3 linked regions of the Lytechinus pictus genome follow. The protein of the gene in region 1 interacts with the protein of each later gene in a pairwise test. Links are inferred from orthologs where the notes say so. Each region holds a gene or a part of one and is shown on either strand. Other genes may lie near its edges. The genes, in order: protein kinase C iota type-like, protein numb-like and partitioning defective protein 6-like.

Evidence for each region.
Region 2: the proteins of protein kinase C iota type-like (region 1) and protein numb-like interact in binary tests that used the Caenorhabditis elegans proteins (3 or more experiments, as listed by UniProt). The link is inferred for Lytechinus pictus from reciprocal best matches to the Caenorhabditis elegans genes pkc-3 and num-1.
Region 3: the proteins of protein kinase C iota type-like (region 1) and partitioning defective protein 6-like interact in binary tests that used the Caenorhabditis elegans proteins (3 or more experiments, as listed by UniProt). The link is inferred for Lytechinus pictus from reciprocal best matches to the Caenorhabditis elegans genes pkc-3 and par-6.

What each region holds. Positions count from the first base shown.
Region 1 is NC_087258.1:8,748,279-8,755,321, forward strand, and holds the start of protein kinase C iota type-like, read right to left. Parts: upstream 3,078-7,043; 5' UTR 2,477-3,077; coding exon 2,419-2,476; intron 1-2,418.
Region 2 is NC_087251.1:3,401,019-3,408,621, forward strand, and holds the start of protein numb-like, read right to left. Parts: upstream 3,041-7,603; 5' UTR 2,567-3,040; coding exon 2,553-2,566; intron 1-2,552. UniProt on the Caenorhabditis elegans protein: Involved in the tethering and targeting of pkc-3 to modulate the intracellular distribution of the kinase.
Region 3 is NC_087246.1:69,801,037-69,808,183, forward strand, and holds the start of partitioning defective protein 6-like, read right to left. Parts: upstream 3,091-7,147; coding exon 3,013-3,090; intron 1-3,012. UniProt on the Caenorhabditis elegans protein: Necessary for apicobasal and anterior-posterior asymmetries associated with cell adhesion and gastrulation during the first few cell cycles of embryogenesis. Required for localizing/ maintaining par-3 at the cell periphery.

The sequences.
Region 1 (7,043 bases):
AACATGTATTACATATTACAGGCCGTTTCAAATAGTCATTTTTTTGTAGGCACAAATGGGAAAAGGTCTATTTATCTTCACATTTCAAATATACTGTAGGCTTATAGGTAACAATCAATAATTAAAAAAGATTTTCACAATTTATACAATAAATTGCAAAGCAACAGAAGATAGAAAAGTATAGAAACATGGAGTAAAAAGAAAAAAATGGGGACTGAGTAAATGGAAAGGTGTATAAATAGTAGATTGGCAATCTACGATATTTACCCTAAACAGCAATGGCATTTTGAGAGCTCTCATACTAATGGACTGATTAATGAGCTGGAAGAAAAATACTATAAGGAGAGCAGAGAGATCCCTGCTAGACTCTACAAAACCCACAAAAAAAATGAAGGTATGTATTTAAGAGGCATATTTTATTGGGAGATAAAGATGAGGCACAGGAAATTGAAAATATAAAACCAAACATCATTTTTCTTGAATTAGAAGACTGAACAAATGCATATTCGAATGTTAAAGATAAACCTCAATTCTGCCTGATACTAATAGCTGAATTGTGAAGGGAAAAAAAGGCTCAAAATGATTGAAAATTGATTGTTATTTTTTTTATTAACAACTGTAGGTACGAATGGTTGTTTATCATAGGCTATATGTTTTTTGTAGATTGATCAAACAAGCAATAATTAAAATAATAAAACAATAATTCAAATTATAATGATAGTGTAATTTGATTGATTCCACAGCCATGGACCGCACACAAACACATATGTATGAGACTACAAATTGTCATCCTGACCATTCCAGCTTTCACTGATCAGATGATTGTCAGGGTATTTGTATAAACTTATAAATAATTTGCAATGGACCTTTTTATTCTCTCTATTAATACTTTCATTTCATTTTTAATGCTTCTTCAATATATTTTTTTGTTCATCTTTGCTCCAAATGAGACTTTCAATATTTGATGCAGATTCCAAGAATGAGAAAGCAAAGCCTGACAAGGGCCCAGTAACACAAGGGTTAGCAAATTAATGGCTAATTTGAAAGAGCAATTCTGATTGGTTCTTAATCAATCAACAGAGCAAAATGTGTATGCAACGATGATCGTGATAGGTCATTTCATTTAGCGATTAATCGCTAACCTTTGTGTTAAGGGACCCAGGCACTGGAAAGGCCAGAAGAGTACCCATTCAATAATGCAGTGTATTTTTAATTGAAAGCTAGCTCATCATAGACTACACGTATCTCCATCGAGTGATTTTAAAGCCAGGCAGCAAAGACACAAATTGCATGGGCAGTGTAGGCCTGCGAAAGTAAAAAGGCCAACATATGGAATATGTATTTTTTAAGTACTCCATATACTACACAGCACTGTGTGATTACCAGTGTGGTTTAGCAAGTCAATCTCTGTTTATGTCTCATCTATAGGACTTGTTTATCGTTCAAAGACAGAGAGACCTAGGGATTCATCGAAATGACAACTGCAAGGGTGTCGGCCTTGAGCGCCCCACATACCTCCAGGTTCAGTGACTAGTCTGTATGCAGTTTATGCATATGATTTTATACTTTAAGAGGGAGACGGGGGATTCCATTTCTCTGATGCATAAGGCTTGAATATATATACGAGGAGGGAGTTTGAGTTGATAATTGTTACCTCTGATAATTAATAGCAATTAAGTTAAACCTTCTTTATTGTTGGTTTGTAGTCAACTTCAAAAGGAAAGAGGTCATCATTTGGTTTTTGTTATTAGTGGGCCTACATTAGGGCCTAAAGGCATAATATGGCAAGTGACATTTTGAAACTATATTTAGGGACAATTATTGAATTCCAAATAACAGAGATGTTGTCTTTTTTAAACCAATGTCAAATTCAGGGAATTGTCTTTAAGACAGTAGAAACTTGCCAACTTACCGTGTACTGCAACTTTACCCACAATTCACATGCATATTCCCACACAGCTTCCCATACAGCGTTAGCATCATTATATTCACATGCCACAACCAAAATCTATTCGTTCATGCCAGCATTCTGCTTCATTGTTATCGATCAAATTGTGAGAAAGAATGGATTCTATCCTTTTCCCCCCTCGCCTGATTTATTTCATTTTCTCTGAAAACAGCCAGAACCATTCCCTGGGAAATGGAATACACGACACAATCATGTCCTACTTTTTCTGATATAAAAAAACCTACTAGATGTAGATCTAGTAGTGTTAGCCACCATATCCTTTTGGTAGATTTTGCAATTCAATACAAAACCTGCTTTGAGAGATTCTTTCGGACTGGTAATGAACTATCTAGTATGGATCCACATGACAGCAAAGACAGTACAGGAGCTACACAGGATTCTACATTCAAGCAAACAGATTTCAGAGAAATCGACGACACTCGCTCACCCGTCTATATTTCATCACTCACATTTCACCAGCCGGAGAACGTACCCTTGAAAGAGTATCCTCGCCTTTCGGATGTCCATCTGTGCGACGCCAAGGAGTGATTTCCAGAGACAAAAATTATCCGCGTGATTCCATGGCAAAATGAGCTACACAGTAATGAAGATCCTCCTTGCAGCTGGGCCTATTTTCACTGACTAATATTTCATTTTCGTGTTTGTCCACAAAATATGGTTGGAAACGCAAACATGTTTGTGTCAGGGGGGTATACAGGCTTGGCTCTCGACTCATGAATGCATGATGGGCTGAGAGAAGGTTGCACGCAAACCACATACAAATAGCAGTATCCCACCGCTGTTACACATTCTGCTTATGGGGAATGTACACTGAGTGAACACACAGAGCAAGCAACCGTCGACAACCGGTTAATGCAATGAAAGCACTGTGCTGCTATGCCAGGAATGCTAAATCAATCTAAAAACAACGAAACATACAAGCTTGACACATGATGTCTATCCTCAGACTGTCCTTCTCTCTCGCTCTGTCTTTCTCTTGTTGGATGAGTGAGAGAGCAAATGTGCATCCTTGATTGAAATCTTCAAAGCGTGAGCTCATGCCAACATTCTAAAGTACTAGCGTCAACCGGCCAAATGTATCGGCTCTCCGAGAGAGGAAGACCGACTCAGCTGTCACTTCGCTGACTCGCAGGCACGACGCGTATGACATGACAGCCACACGATCCCCCTTCCCCGTCACCCCATGTAGCAATCGTTGGGGGGAGGGGGACGAGGGCCTGGGGGTAACACAGCATACTTGTGCGTTCTACGAGACAGATATACATTTAATCTTTATCATGCATGTATAGTAGCGGGAAGTCTATAATTAGCTTGCTTCATTGAAATAAACAATAACTTGTTGCCTCCTAATCTTGTTAGCAGAATATTTGTACGCCAACTGAATAAATCACGCTCCCTTCCCCCTCCTGCCCCTTCACTCTGGGTCAGATGACCTTTATTTTCAGCTCACCGAATATGACATTTTTTATTCAATAATGTTGTCAGAAAATCAGATATTATTCATTTGGTAGGCATACTATCAATTATTTACAGATTTATTGCAAATCCACGATATTCAATTTTTATTCAGATCAAATGAAGACATGCAGTCACTAAATGTTACTTACAGTACAGTAATGACACTATATACAGTAACTGCACAAACTTGTTATCATAATTCCAAAAGGGGTAATAAGCTGTACTATTATGAGAATACCAACAGATGTGCCTTATTTAGAAAAAAAGTTATATTTTCCATGCAATGTTTATAAATTCCCCTAAATAATATCCTCAATATCTGTTACATTTTTCTAAGACTCCCATTAGGTTTTATTTTAAGTACAGTAAAAAAAAATATTGATGCAAAGATTACTACCAAGTTATATCAATCAGAATCATTATAAATAAACTTTCTAGTATTAATTACTTGAATACAATTAAATATATCGCCACTGAAATATGAAATTAGAATGAACATAAAAAGTATTACTTATAAAAGCAGTGGAAAAGGAGTCCCGATTATATTTTTCTCAATTTATTGTGTAAAAATGTAGCCATTTCAACTTGAAGATTTCTGCTCATTTAATTTGAAAATTACTTTAGTAGCATCAAAAACAATATATGACAACAAAATTGCACATGTATCTCTATGTGATGTACTGTGTATTCAATGCATCTGTGTGCTATCTGTCAAGTCTCTATACATGTAGGCACTATACAATTCCTCAAGATCATCTTAATTTGGTCATGGTCGGCATCGGCAGTCATTATAGGAAACATGAGAAGGAACTAATTAATTGAAGACCTCTTGGTCATGATCATGAGGCGAGGCTCAAGGAAATTAATGCACAAATGTTGTCAGGGTTAGACTAGCTACTAAGGAGTGCGGAAATATGATCTTCAAGCAAATACTGAATTGAAGGCATGGGACTGCAGCCAAATTTTCCCCCAATAACCTGACATAATTAATGTTCAATTGTGTGAAGGGAATCAATGCTAAAATTCATGCTTTTATGAATCTAAACTTTGATTAATGACCACTTAATATATGTCATAAGGCTGAATTGTCCAGTCTTTTATCCCTAATAGTGTTCTAAAAGCATCCATGGCTTTATGAAAATTGTAATGTCAAGTAACCTCAAAACTAGATAAATATTTGTCTTTGTCTTCACAAATTCAAAGACAGCTATTTAAAATCTAATCTTTAATCTGTCTATTAGAAAATGCACAGAGAACATGTACGCCTATTGCTTTTCAATATGGTTCCATGTTTGCATCATTTCATCATTTATAGCCGAGAATCCACTAACGATATCCCATGAATACACCGGCAAAATGTCTGGTCATGCTCCGGAATTGTCCAGAGAAAAGATGTGATTTACATAATTGACGCTTGGATCGATACCGACGTATGCGTTACGTGGGAATGTCACCGCGCACCCCAGAGAATCGGTCAAATTGGGGCGCGCCAAATGGATCTCCGTCCATTGAGGGTTGGAGTATGTGTAGCAAAGACAGGTGAGAAGGGAACCACTGTGTTCAGACCATGAGAAACAACGATTTGGAGACGTTATTTTTTTTTAGATCTCACACCAATCCCTGGAGAAGTATGCGTAGAAAACACAAGTGTGAAGGACATCATAACACCATATTTTTTTATACTAATATCCTAGTCTTCTTAAAAAAAAAAGAAATCTTATACAAATTACCATCCAGTGGTACAGTAGATTATATATGAGTCAACCTTCCATATGCACTTATTTTTTACTGTGTTTTATCATGAGAAATGAAATCTATCAATCAAATAATCAATCAATCGATAAGTCAATAACTTGAAGCATTGTTTCACTTTCAGACCAGATTCCATAAAACAATGCTCATTTACATCTTAAAAGTTAAATTTTGGCTAAGTCGAACAGATTTCTGTGTTCTCCACTCGCCTTACGAAGAGTCTCCCGTTTACACACCAATACTAATGACTCCAACACTATTTTCCACATAGACTGATACGTGTAGAATGGTGTGATAGCTATTTTGATCAAATCCTTGAATTGTGGTAGGCCTTTAATCAAACATTCACTACTCATGCATACCTTACCTTTATCACCAAAAAATATTCCATTCTTGAGTCAGATGTTATTGCCGTGGAATATGAATTGTACATGTATGACTTATTTGCTCAAAGCCAAGCAGGCATAAAAATATGCTATGGTCGATTGGTGGTGGTTTTCAGCTACAGCTATTTGAACAATATTTCAGTGTCGAACACTGCCAAGTGGTGTGCATACATGCCTGATGCATAAGGTCACTCAATGGACAGTTGTACTATGAGTGACCTTACTGGACATGGAGGAAATGCAGAAGAGACATTACAGCATGCAGTCATAATGATGATGCAAACCAACGCCAGATTGATACGTGAATGACACTAAACTTACGCTGGACAGAAACCAGACTGTAACACCAAACTGATGTCAAGTCTAACAACAGAAATCAAGTCTAATACAGAACCGACTCCAAGTCTAACATAAGACTTAGTCTATCACCACAATAGCACTGAGTCCTACACCAGACTCGCACCCTGTCCAGGAGCAGACCAACACCAACACAACACTGATGCCAGTCCAATGCTGTAACCAACACAGATAGACGGTTTACACTAACACCAGATTGAATATATAGTTGTGCCAAAACTATGCAGAGGCCGCTGAACAAATTTGAAAAGGAGGGGGGGGGGGGCTGAACATGTATACAATCACAAATGGGTAATTTTCAAGTTTCTGTATACATACTGAAAAATAAGTGGGGGTGGGGTATGACCCTTTCAGCGGCCTGTTAGCATAACAAGAATAGAGGTTTTCATCACTTTGGCAGAATAACAAATGCTTAACTGGCATTGGATTGCTACACTGGTGAAAATATGAACAGACCACATAAGGAAGAGTGCAAATACCCTAAGCTTGCGTGTTTAATTAGCCAATAGATGTTTCTACACTACACACAGCCAAGGGTGTCTTATCTGCTTTTCCCTAACCAATTTACATCATTAAAAGTCAAATAATAAACTTTAATCAGGTCAGCTGTGCTTCTTTGCTCTTACTGGGCTTGATAACGAGGCCATTATCTCTATGATATAATCACTTATCACTATATCTCAGTTGAGACCTCTGACCCTTCATATAGGACTATGCTGTACCCTTCGTATTAAGGTCTTGGATTTAAAGATATTTGAAGGTTGAAGAAAATAGGGAAACATCTAATTCCTGATAGATTTGCAGATTATTCTACATACAACTATCAAATATCATAATGATGTAAGATTTTGCAATTGACTAAAGTAGTCAATGTTGCAAAACTGACTAAAGTAGACCTGCTGAGAATTTTAATGCACTGCAAACATATAAATGCATGAATGGGACTACACCACAAAATATTTCTGCTGTCTTGCCACTTTTGTGTCATTATAGCTTAAATTGTGAGTGCATTTGAAAAGCAATCCTTTTACAGTGGATGTTTTTTCCAATGTTCTTCAAAAATATATGGAAAAGATCTAGAACTAAAAGCTTTGAATTATCTGTCCACCTTTCCCACAACA
Region 2 (7,603 bases), on another chromosome or scaffold:
CCTATCAAATACCCCCCCCCCCCCCCCCGCTCCTTTCTTATTTCAACATGTTATGTACAACAATTTAACCATGGAGTAATACATGTAGCTCCATGTTTTAACTATTTCTTTCTAGGGCAGCAAATCAGTATTCAATTCAAGAAATACAGGCAGCCAGCATCATTAATTAAACTTCCACTACACTGCTTCAATTTAATCCACTTATCTTTGGTCATCACTTATCTGCAGATAAAGCTGATAAACTAAATTTGTCATGCAAAGTTCATCAGAATGGCATGTATCCTAGGATTATAATTTACAGCATGAACCTGTACTCAGATAATGCAGATTGGCAATACATGTACACTGTAACATGTACATGTACACTGTAACATGTACATGTACATGTGCTCTGTAAAGAAATCTGCCAAAGGAAAACTAAGCAAAATTGCAAATTAACAACATTTATTCTAATCTCATTCTTTTTCTTTTGATTTCAACCAAAGAAAAAACATGAAATGTCCTTTCTTGCATGGGCTGAGAGCTGTTTGTTTTTCACCAATGGGCAGATAATCCAGTTAAAAAATAGAGAGTGAAATAATGAACAGGTGTATAAAATCCCTGAAATATATGAAATAAAAGAAATTATGGTAAATGAATAGGCTTAAATAACTTATAAAACATGAAAAATAAGAGGCTAAAAATATGAAAAAATCAAGAAAAATTATATCGAATACAGAAAACTAAAAAGAAAGGTTGTATAGAAATCATCATTTACATGTAAATGTAAAAATCAGCAATATTTAAAGGGTCTCCAGGAATTTTCCAGTCCCCATCAGGCATCAGCTTCGAATGCTTTTCAGATAGTGATGAATTTTAAAGGGGTACTACAGGATGAAAATAATATAATTTGAAAATTTCATCAAAAAAGTTATTTCAATTCAAACTTTTGCATGTTTCTAATAGCGGAACAGTTCTACAATGTACATGTATATGCCTGGCAATGAGCAAGCTGATATCATACATGTATCCCCACTTTTTTCTATTATCATTATGAAATCGTTTCTTCAAATTTTGTCCTCCAAGAATTGAAAAAAAAATATTGACTATTGATTCAATATTTCAATGTGTAAGATAATTATTGCTGCAACTTATTTTGTTGCATGGGACTCTTGGGAGACATACATGTACCATACTCATATATGAAATAATTATGATTTTAAGAAAGTAAGGACATGACATCCGCCCATCTATTGCATTTTCATGACATCATGATGCCATAAATTCTAGATTATTCAACTAATTTCATTTTTTGTGATCAGATTTTGATGGAACTTTCAGGGTTTTGTTTGCTTAATTTTACTCTATTTAGATTATTTTCAGCCCGGAGTACCACCAGTAAGACAGGTATTTTTTGGAGAATGACAAAATTTGTTATTCTATCTCATTATTCTTGGGTTGAGCTACAATTCAATGGTCCTCCCATCTATTTATTTCATTGCAGTTTACTGAGGCCTACCAGTAAAATACACAGTAATAAAATTCTGATCTGAGCAAGTATAATATTCAGGTGCAAGCTTTTCGATATATACAGTAGTGCCCACTTGCCATCAAATCTACTTGACCTATGAAAATTTAGTTTGTTTCTTTATTGCCGAAATTTACTTAGGTCCCATATCAATAGAATTTACGCTGTATCAATTCAGAACTGGAAAAATATTTTTTTCAAATAATTACACTGTAGCTATCAAGAGCAGCATTTAAATGTGTCTACAGGTGCTACATTGTCGGCTTAGCATAGAGTGTGGCTTGATGCTATTACCAATACACACACAAGTTAACTGATGGCATAATCATGTGCTCTATGAAGACATTATACCTTCACCTCACTCTGTACTTTCATACATGTACCTCCGCCTCGCTCCACACTTTTTGGATATCCAGCATTTACATGTAGGATTTTTGCTAAATTGAGGAGTGCATGGCATATTAGCTAATGTAGCTACTTAAATTGCCTGGATTCAGTTCATGTTTGAACTGAATTACAATGTATATGTAGATGTTGTCTACACAAAAGCCAACAAGAAAAACAAAATGTATGTGTAAACTTTCAAAACAAAAAAATTCTGAAATGAAGGAAAATCTTCAATAATTTAGTCAAACTTGTAACTAAAATCAACAAATGCATTAAACACGATACAAACAACAAAGTCTAGTGTGAGCAAAAAAAACTTGACACCTCACGAATCCCCAATGTACATTGTAAGGGAAAATATGTTATTAACACATATATGTAGCAGTGTAGCCTAATTATTATAATATAAATGGCCTGAAGAGTCAGGACTCCAACATGTCCAAGGAGGCAATAAACCTAGTATTTTAATTACATTTTTATGATAAAAATGAGTAAAATGTGATTTGCCTGCTGCTCAATTAGGAAAGATTCCTGTTCTCAAAATTGTTTTTAAAAGAACGAATTAAAACTTAAATCTACAATAAATAAAAGGTCAAATGAAAACACCTGGCTGTAACAATACATAGGTCAATGTACAGTATATTAACTTTATACTCACTTGAGTCTTCCCATCTTGATTTCTTCTGATATGACTTTACTCTGTTGTTAACTAGTATAATACATGAGAAGAAGACCACTGTTTATATCCAATGAATATTCCACAATGTTTAGAGGTAAAGGTGGCGAGGACATAGGTGGCACAGATACTTCATTCTACTTGTAGTTGTAGTATAACAAAACACAGCCAATGAGAGAATCCTCAATGTGTAGTACTTCCCTGTGCTAATACAATACTGACTGACCAATAGTGCAGTTTGTGTATACAAAGTTTTAGGATGCTTCAGTAACCCCCCAAAACCCATGCAAATAACTTTCTCACATACCAGAGTGCTTAGGTTGAGATTAGAGTATTCAAACAGTGGGGGAGCATTTCAAATGGATTACCCAAGCCTGTCTGTGTTTTGTATGTATGCATGGTGAGCTACACTAAGCTAAATTGAGGGATGTATGGTCTACAGAACAATGCTTGTCTGCCATTTATCCTACAAAAGCTCTGCTTTCATGAAACATTCTGATTTTGAAGGTGACTCATAATTACACTGCACTTCAATGAGTGCACGAGCAATACACTCTTTGGATAAACACAAATTAAGCAGTTGCTAAGTTTCACATAAGCTTAGGGCTCTGAAACACCCCTAAAACAAAATGGTATGTGCATTTACTACTCCTAATGGACCATCCCTATGGGGGTCATAACCTACCCCATGAAGCATCTCAAAACTATGCAATCATTTCTATATGTACATGTACATGTATACCAAACTGGAATGAAACTAAAACCTAATTTCTGTTCAATCCAGTCTCAAATTGTTTATTCTAACGGGATTACCTCAACACATTCCTGGAATCACATAACTCCATATTTAAGAGTTTTAGGGAAATGTTTCATTTTGGGGGGAAACACTGCATAAACCTGGTGTAAACACACATTTATTACCTCTTTGAATCACTGAGCAGTCAACAAGCCAGGTGAGGGGGTGTGTTATATTCAATTCTACAAACAGATTGTCACTATTCATCAAATGGATTAGGTTCATTCTAGGAAAGATCAAAGGCTAGAAGTCCTAAAACCATTCTTTTACAGGAATTGTTCCCTCTATAAATCTAGTCTCAGCTCTTAAAAGGTAAATTGAGATATAGGACACAAATACAATATGCAGGTACAAGAAAATAAGCCCCACTGCATTGGGCAATTTGGTGGATTATAAACCAATCAATATCTTTAGGGGTTGATAGGATAGATATCAAAGACCTCCTTGCCACAAGGTATCAAATCATCGCATTATGTTTTAGACCTGCCTACTATGAGAATGTATACATCTGTTTTCATCTGAAAGGACTATTAAAGTTACTTCAATATTTTATTCATTATACTAATTTTTTCAAAAATAAACTTTATCCTATTTTTTCAAATTTCATCTTGAGTTTATAAATGCACATTGATCAAAATGAATTTTATAAGAGTATTCATTAAAAGACAAACAAAAATAATAATAATAATAATACTTCTCTTATATAGCGCATAATAAACTGAAAGTTTCTCTATGCGCTTTACAATAAAGGATACAAAGTACATATACTACAAACAAAGAAAATAGACTTGTGAATTACAGAATTACTTAATATTTCAACTTACAAAAAAAAAAATGATGTCCAGGTACAGGTATTTCTTTCACAGGGGAAGTTCCCTCTGACATATAAGTTTGTTATAAAAATACCGGAAAAATAATAAGAAATATATTTATGAAGGATTGAGGAAAATCAATTTAAAGATTGTTATTAGAATTTCAAGTTTTCAATTTGTGACATCATGGAGCTATTACAGAGAACAGCTCCATGGTGACATCATATACAAGCAGCTGTCTCACATGTATTGCCATGTAATATAAAATGTATCGATTTCAATTTTTAATGGGAGATGGCTAGAAATTTTCTTTTTTCAGGAGTGCCTGTGAAATAGATTGTTGATCAAAATGAAGGTACAATAAACCCTTCACCATACATGGGAAGCTGCTCTCATGTGATGTCTCAAATAAAAAGAAAATTCTAATAACTTTATAAATCTTTGATGGATTTTCCTCAAACGTTCTCAAATATTTGTTTTTCTATTTTTACAACAATCTGTTTATCAGTGCATGGACCTATTTCCTTCAATCCATTGATCTAGATCATAATGGTATGCTCCCAGCACTCCTCAAATATAGGGAGTACGTACTATCCACAAAACTTCAAAAGGGTATAAAAGTGACAAAACAAATATGTGAAAATTTGTTAAGTCCCAAGGAAAAATCATGACAAAATATCACATTTTGCTAGACAAAATTTAATATTCATAAATTAATAAATATCCCTCCAAAACTATTTTACCCCAAAAACATTAATTAAAAAGAGGGTACTTTTGTTAAAATAAGATACTTTAACAAAATGTCAGATGAAATGTTTAATATAGCCTATAAAAGCCTGGTAAAAGGTCAATAATGTGAATTATAATCAAAATGGTGATTTTCCATGGATTGCTTTAACTTCTCGATTTAATATTTCAAAATGTATTTCCTGTGGGTAGTGGGGTTTATTTTCCCTCCACATCCTTGTCACATTTTCACTCCTTTATGAAGTCCTATGAAAGCAAAAGCAAAGGTTTCCAAATGAAAACAAACTCTTTCATGATCACAGAGGGCAGCAAATATGACCAAGGTAAAAACAGCATGATTTTATCAGTGAAGTACAATGTTCAATTTGTTAAAATGTCATTGGAAATTAGTTGGATGTCATTCCATAAATTCCTATTAGTATCTACAGTAGGGTTTGACTGTAAATTCTAGTATTGTAAAGTTGTACAGTAAACATCATTAGCCTTCACAAAATACCTTCACATCATAACAATTTGATACTGTTCTCTTCCATGATTTTGTTAAGAATATAAGATGATAGCTCCTGAAAAGTTACGGCAAAGTGTTTTTGCCTAAAAAACACTCAGAAAAAACACACACAGCTTTGGGGGATTACCCACTTTGCATATTTTACATACGTAGGCCATCATTACAAAATGCATAGACTTATAATTGAAAAATTGTTGTTTTTCAATTTGAAAAAGATATTAGTGCATCATAATCATTGGCAAAATATGAATGTAGATACATGTACAGACTTGTACAGTATCAAAGCGTCATGTAAACTTGAAACACTATGTACACAACTATCTAAGTAGAAGGTACTATCATCAACATGTAAATATGCCTACCGGTACATGTAATTTGTAACTGAACATGGACTTTGAAGTTTGAACATGAAATGTAGACCCAAGGCCAAGTCAAAGAAAACAAGAAATCTTTGAAAATTGTGTTGAGGTTTAATGAAAAAGAATCATGAATTGAAGCAACTAAGATAGATTAAATTGATTCAGACAAGAAATCACACAAGATATGACCTTTTCATATAGGAACAACCATACTTCTCCATGGCAAACTGTCAAGTGTCATTGATGAATAACATTATAAAACCAAGTACGGTAGCAATGCTAAACTTTATCAAGTAATGATCGAAGGTCATGGCATGCATAATTCTAACAATTTTAACATGAATTAGATCTATCTAGATTCTACATTTCTAGATCTAATTAGAAGTTAGAACAGAAGATTGCAGAAATTATGGATCGCATATCACATAGACCACAATTTTTTGCTTGCACATTCTATTCAGAGTCAAAGTCTTTAGAAAAGAGAACTTTCATTTTTCATATTGAGATTCGTGTACCGGTACTAACGTTAAAACTGTCTACCGCCGTAAAAAAAAAAGTACCGGTATACGGTACCACCTCCCAGGCTCCTGCCTCTCTAAATCCGCGCCCTCCGCCTCCGGTACCGTATACCGCATAAATACTTGTCGGCTAATTAGGCTAGATCTAATTTAATACTAACGTTAATTAGTCTCAGTGACAAATAAAAATCTGAAATTCGGCTAGCAAGAAAAATACATACCTAAATATTAAATCTGCTGGTTTTATCCTCAAGTTGAAGTTCCGAAAATCCCTTCTATAAAAATTGATAAATTTAAGGGCTTATCTCCTGTGGTGTGATTACGTAGCTCAGTCATGGGTTCATGGCATGGGTTATCTTCTGCTGATATTTCTTCACGGTATCTTATTATCGGTAATATCATATATTACCGGTACACACGTACACACATACACACACACAACGAGTATACCATACAACAAAGCCATACACACACAAAAACACTTGCATCGCGATATGGCTGTGCAAAATTACGTGCAATATGCAGCATTCTGAAAGGGTGGCCGTGGCGCCGCGTTCTTTTGCAGATGATATTTTTCAGCAGCTGCTCTTTTCGAAGAAATCACTGCTTTTGAATCAATAATTTCTATTTCATTTTATTGAAAGTATAATAAGCTCTTAGAAAAAGAGGAATGTTTTATATTTACGAACACTTTGTGATATAGCCATACAGGCCTACGTATATATTAAAGAATAAACGCAGCTCTCAATGTTTGGCATTGGTATATTGGGTAGAATTATTCTGCAATCAAAACCAAAACATATTAACAGAGGCCTTGGCCTTATAAAAAAAGGAGAGAGCTAGAGAGAGAGAGGGGGAGAGATACGAGGGGAAAGAAAAACTGACTGCATCTCATTGCAATTAAACTACAATCAACCCACACATGTTTTTTGTTCTATGTCTCTTCAAAATTCTTACTATCTGACCTGTGAATGTATGCGTGTATAATTCATTTGGACTCCAGGGGAGTGTTTCATCAACATTTTTGTCCGACAAGATGTCCGATCTGACAACTTTTCTGTGATGCTGATTGGCTATGAATCAGTGTTTCTATGGTAACTGTCGGATAAAATGGGATTTATCGGATAAGTCCATTCATGAAACTCTCCACTGGTCACTCTCATGGTCTATATTTCTTGTTTTATCTGTTGATCTACAAGGGCCTAAGTTTTGGTCGAGTTTTAATTAATGTATATTTATCTTTCCTCTTTAAAGGAAAATCAAAATATAATACATTCATCTTCCCTGATTCTT
Region 3 (7,147 bases), on another chromosome or scaffold:
GATCATATAATCAACGAAATATCATAAAAGTTAGGTCTAGATCTATCTCTTCAAATGAGTCAATTCAGGTTTTTCCGAAACGGTCCGGAGCTGAGGCCTGTACTGTATGAATGAGCTGGGTGCGCAAGCTCGGAGCTCAACCATCACACTCACCTTCAACTTACACAAATAGGAGTACGTGGGGCACTGGAAGATACTCGACGATGCATCAATCGACGTAGAAATGGATCGTAGATTCGTCGTTATAGTATCAAGGCCATTGTAATCACGCAAATGATCTTTGCATAAAAATTAAGCTCAAAGTATGCTTTTTCACCTTATAATTTCTAAAACATGTACGAGCAGGAAAAGATTTAACTACGGAAGAAAGACAGACATACCTAAAATGACCAATCTCTAAAGTTCCTCCGTTTGTAATTTTGTTGAGTCAAATCAGATTGTGACGTATTTGGTATGTATGCAAAGGGGATCATCTCAGAAGTTCAACCATACATCAAAGACGTACAGAAATCCGTACGAAGTGATATGGATGTTGGAAGTACAGCAAGTCGTGTTTCGATTTTGAAAAAAACAGAGCTCGAAGTTATGTGGAAGAACGTCGTTTTCGGCGGTGCCTCGCAGGGACCTTAAAAAAAATCACTGACCTCAGATTTTACGAGCGGGCTTATTGCGTTACGTAAGCGGGCTCTTACTTTCGCCTGGCGGCTTGCCGATTGATGTTAGATATCGTTCCTTCGCCAGAGGGAAGCGATAACAAAGGATTAACAGAGGAATTGGAAGAAGGATCTCCTTCTGTAATACATGCTCTCTATGATTGTATTACCAAAACTAAAAATAGTCTCTAGTATAAAGTTTTACAAGTGTATTACAAATTTGCGACAGATACAAAGCAGAATAGGCATGTAATTGAATGTTACATCAGCCACTCAATAATTTTCTCCAATATTCACATTTGCATTAAAAAAATCACTTTTCTGTAAAAAAAAAGTTTTGCTCAGAATGATATTTTCCCTTTGCAAGGATGAGTTCCAGAGTATGTAGAGTAGCCTACACAATAGGAAGGCGATTCATTGTACCTGTATGGCATGGTACCATAGTTTTACAGTACTAACTTTACTTCTGTACTACACCAGGCTGAAGAAGATTTTTTTTTCAATTATGGAATTGGAAGAAGATCAGAAGGACAAAAAAGAGAAAATAGACATACATAGTTCTAAGTAGGATAAAAGAGAAGAAGACAAATGGAGGAAGAGAAATAGGATGAGAGAATTTTGAATGGCCATTTTCATTTTGGCAGGCTAAAAAGGTCTTGATGGGGGCAGATCACCTATCATTAATTTCTTCCCATTCATTATTTGCACCACTCTATAAAATTTGAACTACATGTATACAGTGCGTCCCAGAAAAAACGAAACCGATATTTATCGATGATTTTTCATAACTTAATCACAAATACAATAGACAAATGACCTATCATTGTAAAGAAGAGTCTCCTCTTTCATTTGAAAAAAGATTATTTATCATTCATGCCTGAGTGAGCAAAAAAAATTTGAAGAAAGGAAACCAAAAAGTCACTTGGCGGGCAGTATCTGAGTTTCAAAAAAAAAATCACATTAAAAAATTCAATATCTGCTCTTTAATTTGATACCTCAATAACAGAAAACGTTCAAGAAGTATTAAACCTAGTTCTGTTTATTTGAAATAAGGCTTGAAGTCCAATAATTCATAAAATGAAGAGGTTTTAATACTGGATAACTTTCAGACTTACTTGACAATCCGTTTTGTTGATGATCAGCCATGCATAAAGTCTTTTGTTAACCGTGCGATAGCTTCTGCGGGAAACCGGTGAAAACATGTATGTTTCATGAAATTATGGAAATACAAGAATTATTTTGAAGAACCATAGCTTTATTATTTCTTGACCATTTTCTGCGATTTAGCTACATTAAAAAACAGATATTTAAATTTTTAGGCATGTGATTTTTTTTTAATTTTGATACCCCCCGCCAAATGACTTTTTGCTATCCTTTCTTCAAATTGTTTTTACCCACTGTCTCACTCATGCGTGGATGAGAAATCTTGTATGTTATACCTTCTGAAAGAGAAGATTTATGATTAAGTTATGATAAATCATCACTAAACCTCGGTTTCGTTTTTTCTGGGAAGCACTGTATAAATGTAGTTCAAATTTTATAGAGTGGTGCAAATAATGAATGGGAAGAACTTAATGATAGGTGATCTGCCCCCATCAAGACCTTTTTAGCCTGCCAAAATGAAAATGGCCATTCAAAATTCTCTCCTCATCCTACTATTTCTCTTCCTCCATTTGTCTTCTTCTCTTTTATCCTACTTAGAACTATGTATGTCTATTTTCTCTTTTTTGTCCTTCTGATCTTCTTCCAATTCCATAATTGAAAAAAAAATCTTCCGACTGGCGACAGGTTGAATACTACATGTACTTACTAGTGCCAAAACCATCGCCGAATAATTTGATCGCCCCGGCAGTCGCGTCGACGGGTTGAAGAAAAAAATAATGCAAAATTCCAAAAAGAATAACCAGCATTTGCTCTTGGATATAAGACAGGTCTGAAATTAAGGTAAATTCCATATTTCTATATATCTGAGGAAAGTCTCCAAACGGGTTGAATATTAAATGTCCTTACGCCCGGTATGATGTATCGATCATTCTCCTTTTTTTATGGTACGATTCTTTCATGAAAAGGACTTGAAGTTATTACACTGGGCAGCTGGGTCGTGTTTTCAAAATGATAAAGAAAATAATATTGCAGTTATCAATAATAGTGACTTAGTTAGTAATTAATAACATTCATCTTGGTCCATGTCTAGACTCGAGCCAGAGGACAGCGCCTGTTCAGGCAACAAGCAGCAAGGGCAAGGGGCGCCGGCTCCGCCGCGGCCGCGAAGGAGGCCTAGCCTGCTGTGACAGAGTACCGGTAGTGTCAGTGCTAGAGCAGAGACATGAGTCTGAGAGAACACCAATGAAATACTCACCTTGCTTTTGATTTCTTTCAGTCCTTTAGCCCATCTGTTGCTCCCATTGAGCATTGTCGTGGATCCATTTTTCGCCATAATGCCCACCGAATCCCGCATTTGAAGCGGGAAATCATCAATTCTCCAAAGAGTAATCCTATTGCTTCCTATTTCCTTCCAAAGAGGTAATCAAATTGACAAATTACGGGTTGATGTGATGTCGCTGATACATCAGTTGGCTGTGACGTCAGATATAAACCCACTTCCAAATTACTTCCGCCAACCAGTCAACTTGGTACTGTTGGTGCCCCCGTGGTGCCCCTTGTTTCAACATCGAATTTCCCCAGTATTTTTCTTCAATGTATTCTAGAGAAAAGGCTCTGTTAATTAACATCATCAATTAGAAAAAATTAATTTATTCTATTTCATGTGGGTGTGTGTGAGAACAAAGTTGAGTCATAAAGGGACACACCTTTGGATTGGGCGTGCAAAGTGTAGGATGGCGCCATTTCCTTTTAACTTCTCGACACTATAGTGGTATCTGCATGACGAAGTCCGCGGTTCGATTGATTGATTGATTGATTGATTGATTTGATTGATTTTATTTGGCAAGTCACCATAACATATATACAGTAGCATTAAAACAACAGGCTTGCACAGGATGACCCACGAAAGCTCGAAAGCTTATTTCCAGTGGGGTCCTCAATATACAGAATTAAGATAATAAAATGTTAAAATTATACTATTTACATATTAAAAATGAAGAAAAAAAATCAGAATTTACTATTACCAATAAATAAGATATATAGACAATAAATAAGATATATACAAGAATATAACGAAGAAGAAGAAGAAAAGAAGGAGAAGGAAGAGGAGGAACAGAAGAAGAGGGGGACGAGGAGTAGAAGGAGACGGAAGAAACTGACAACGAAGGGAAATAAATAAGGAGAAGAACAACAGCATAAACGTGACGACAATAACAACAAGAAGAGGAGAATAGGAAGAAATAAAAGAAATAGAAAGAATAGAAGAAAGGACATATCGAAGCTTCAATCAAACTATGTAAAATACATAATAATACCAAGTAGAGAAGAGAAAAGAACTAGGTCAGTATTCAGGCTAAATCAACCGTACAACATATCATTTGCATCTTCTTTTTGACTCTCAAGTGAAAGATATTCTTTCAATTTCCTCTTAAAATGCAAAAAGTTTCCTATTTCCTTTATATCATTGGGAAGGGAATTCCAATGTTTTATAGCATTGTAATAAAATGAGTTACCAATACTACCTACCCTTTCTGGTAAGCAAAAATTGAAATGGCTGTTTCTTGTATTATAGTTATGTATTTCGGTAACTAGATTAAAGTTTGATCCAATGTAATGATTCGATCTATTGTGATAGATTTTATGCACGTGGTGCAAAATAAGCTGTTTTGATCTTTTGTTGACTTCAAGAAAACCTGCTCCAGAGAGTTCGGTGTAGCCAACATGGGTTCTGGGACCAGAACAGCTAATGAATCTAACCATTTTATTCTGTATAATTTTCAACTTCTTTTTATCGAGTTCGCTTATGCCACTAAACCAAGCAGGGTTGGCATAGTCAAATAAACTCTGAATAAGAGCAAAACAGAGAATACGCCTTGCTTTTTGATCCATACAACTTTGATACCTGTACAAAAATTTCAAACGGGCATTCGCCCTTTTTACGATTGATTCTACTAAAGATGAAAATGAAAGGGAGCTAGTCAACTCAATGCCTAAATACTTTACAGATTCTTTCCTATGAATTATCTTATTATTGTATGATACTTCAAATTCAAATGAAGTTTTATGATTACTTTTAGAACAAAACAGAATGCTTTCGGTTTTGCCTAAGTGTAACGATAATCTATTATCAGTCATCCAATCGACACATGTAGACAGCTGTTCGCTAAGTTTTTCCTCAACAAATTTTGGGTTGGCATTTGAACAAAGTAGTACGCTATCATCTGCATACAATAATAATTTACAATCAGCTTTTAAACAAATAGACATGTCATTGATATAAGTTGAAAATAGGATTGGGCCTAAAATACTTCCCTGTGGAACTCCACACGTTATAGGCATAATTTTGGAACAAATATCGCGAATAGCCACTACTTGATGTCGATTCGACAAGTAGGATTTGAACCATGCTACAGTAGCCTGGTTAAAACCCATTATTTGTAATTTTTTCAATAAGATGCCGTGATTAACTGTATCAAATGCTTTTTGAAGATCTAGGAGTACCATCCCAACGAATTGTCCCTTAGACATATTTGTTCTCAGATAATCAGTCAAGTGAATAAGGCATGTCTCAGTCGAATAGTCATGTCGAAAACCTGACTCGTAAATCATATCATTTTCTTTAAAATATTTTTCGATCTGAACACATACCGCCTTTTCTAGAATTTTGGATACTATGCTTAAAACACTGATAGGTCTATAGTTTTCAACAGCAGTTTTATCTTTCTTCTTATGAATAGGAGTTACTTTTGCAATTTTCATATCCTCTGGGAAAGTGCTAGTAAAGATAGATAGATTTATTAAGAAATTTAATGGTTTGTACAAACTCTTTGCTCCTTCTTTTAGAAATTTAGCAGGTATCAAATCTAACCCAGTGCTTTTTGATACATTTAATTTACGCAACTCATTAAAAATGAATTGATCACTAACAGGTAATAATTCAAATTTATCTTGGCTTATACCCTTTTTTTCATAAAATTTACGAATGTTTTCACTGTCTGCACTGAAAATATCTTTGCAAGATGGAAGTTTATCTACCAACGTAGCTGCGACATTTGTAAAATAGGAATTGAATTCATTGGAAATAGTTATCTTATCATGACATAATTCTCCGTCAATTGAAACGACTAATTCTTGGTCCTTTCCATTTTTCTTTTTTAATCCCAAACTTTTTAGATTCTGCCAAAGTCTTTTAGAATCATTTTTATTTTCTTCTATTTTATTTTGTAGGTATTCTAATTTGGCCTTTTTCACCTCTCTTTGAACCATATTTCTTAATTTCTTGTATCTTTTGGAAAGCGTGTCATAATCCTGACCGCTTAGATTTTTCTTCATTTTTTTATACGCCACATTTCTTTCTCGAATAAGAGAAATAATATCTTTAGTCATCCAGTTTTCTGATCTCTGTTTAATTCTAATCCGTTTTTGAGGCGCTATCATATTCAACGTTGAAATAAAAGTATTTTGAAAAACTGACCAAGCCTTATTTACGTCAGTGCATTGGGTTAAATCTGACCAATCAACGGCAGACAGTTTAAGATTGAAAGATTCTTCGCTATATTTTTTCAACGATCTGATATCAATGGTTCTGTGAACACCTATAGCCAGCCTAATTTTCTTTCGTGTACAGAAAGTAAAAGAATGGTCACTTATACCAAGATCAATAACACCACTTTGACTTATTTTTTGTTCGTTATTACAAATCACATGGTCCAATAAAGAAGAACATGTGTGAGTGACACGGGTTGCATCTTTGATGAGTTGGCTAAATCCATGAAGACTCAATAAGTCAGTATATTTTTTAGCCAGTGGAGATTTCTGAAAAAGACAAACATTCATATCGCCTAAAAGTATAATTTCATCATCTTTCTTTAATATATCGAGAATATTTGACATCTTCTCAATAAATTGATTGCTTTTCGGAGGCCTATAAATGACGCCAGCAATAATTGGTTTTGATCTTGGTAGAAGCAAATTAATCCACAGTGATTCAGAATCACCTGTACTTAAAACATCTATGATATTGAATGCAATATCATTTCGGACATAAAAACATACACCACCCCCAGAACCTGATAATCTATCATTGCGTATTACTTTGTATCCATCTATATTGATTTCTTCATCGTTCACCGAGTTATTTAGCCATGTTTCTGTGAAAGCAATGACTGCAAGATTCTTTCTCTTAAAAAGAATTCGAAGTTCTGAAATTTTTGGTAGAATAGATCTAACATTTAGATGTACAAAGTGAAGGCCTTTTACAGCAAATATGTTTTCAAAATCTTGATAAAGTAAACTTGAATCCTTCGAGTTTTTTTGTTTCGACTATAATAGTTAAATAGACACATCTTAGGCCTAACCGTACGTTTAAAAGGGCACCCCTGGCTGAAAAA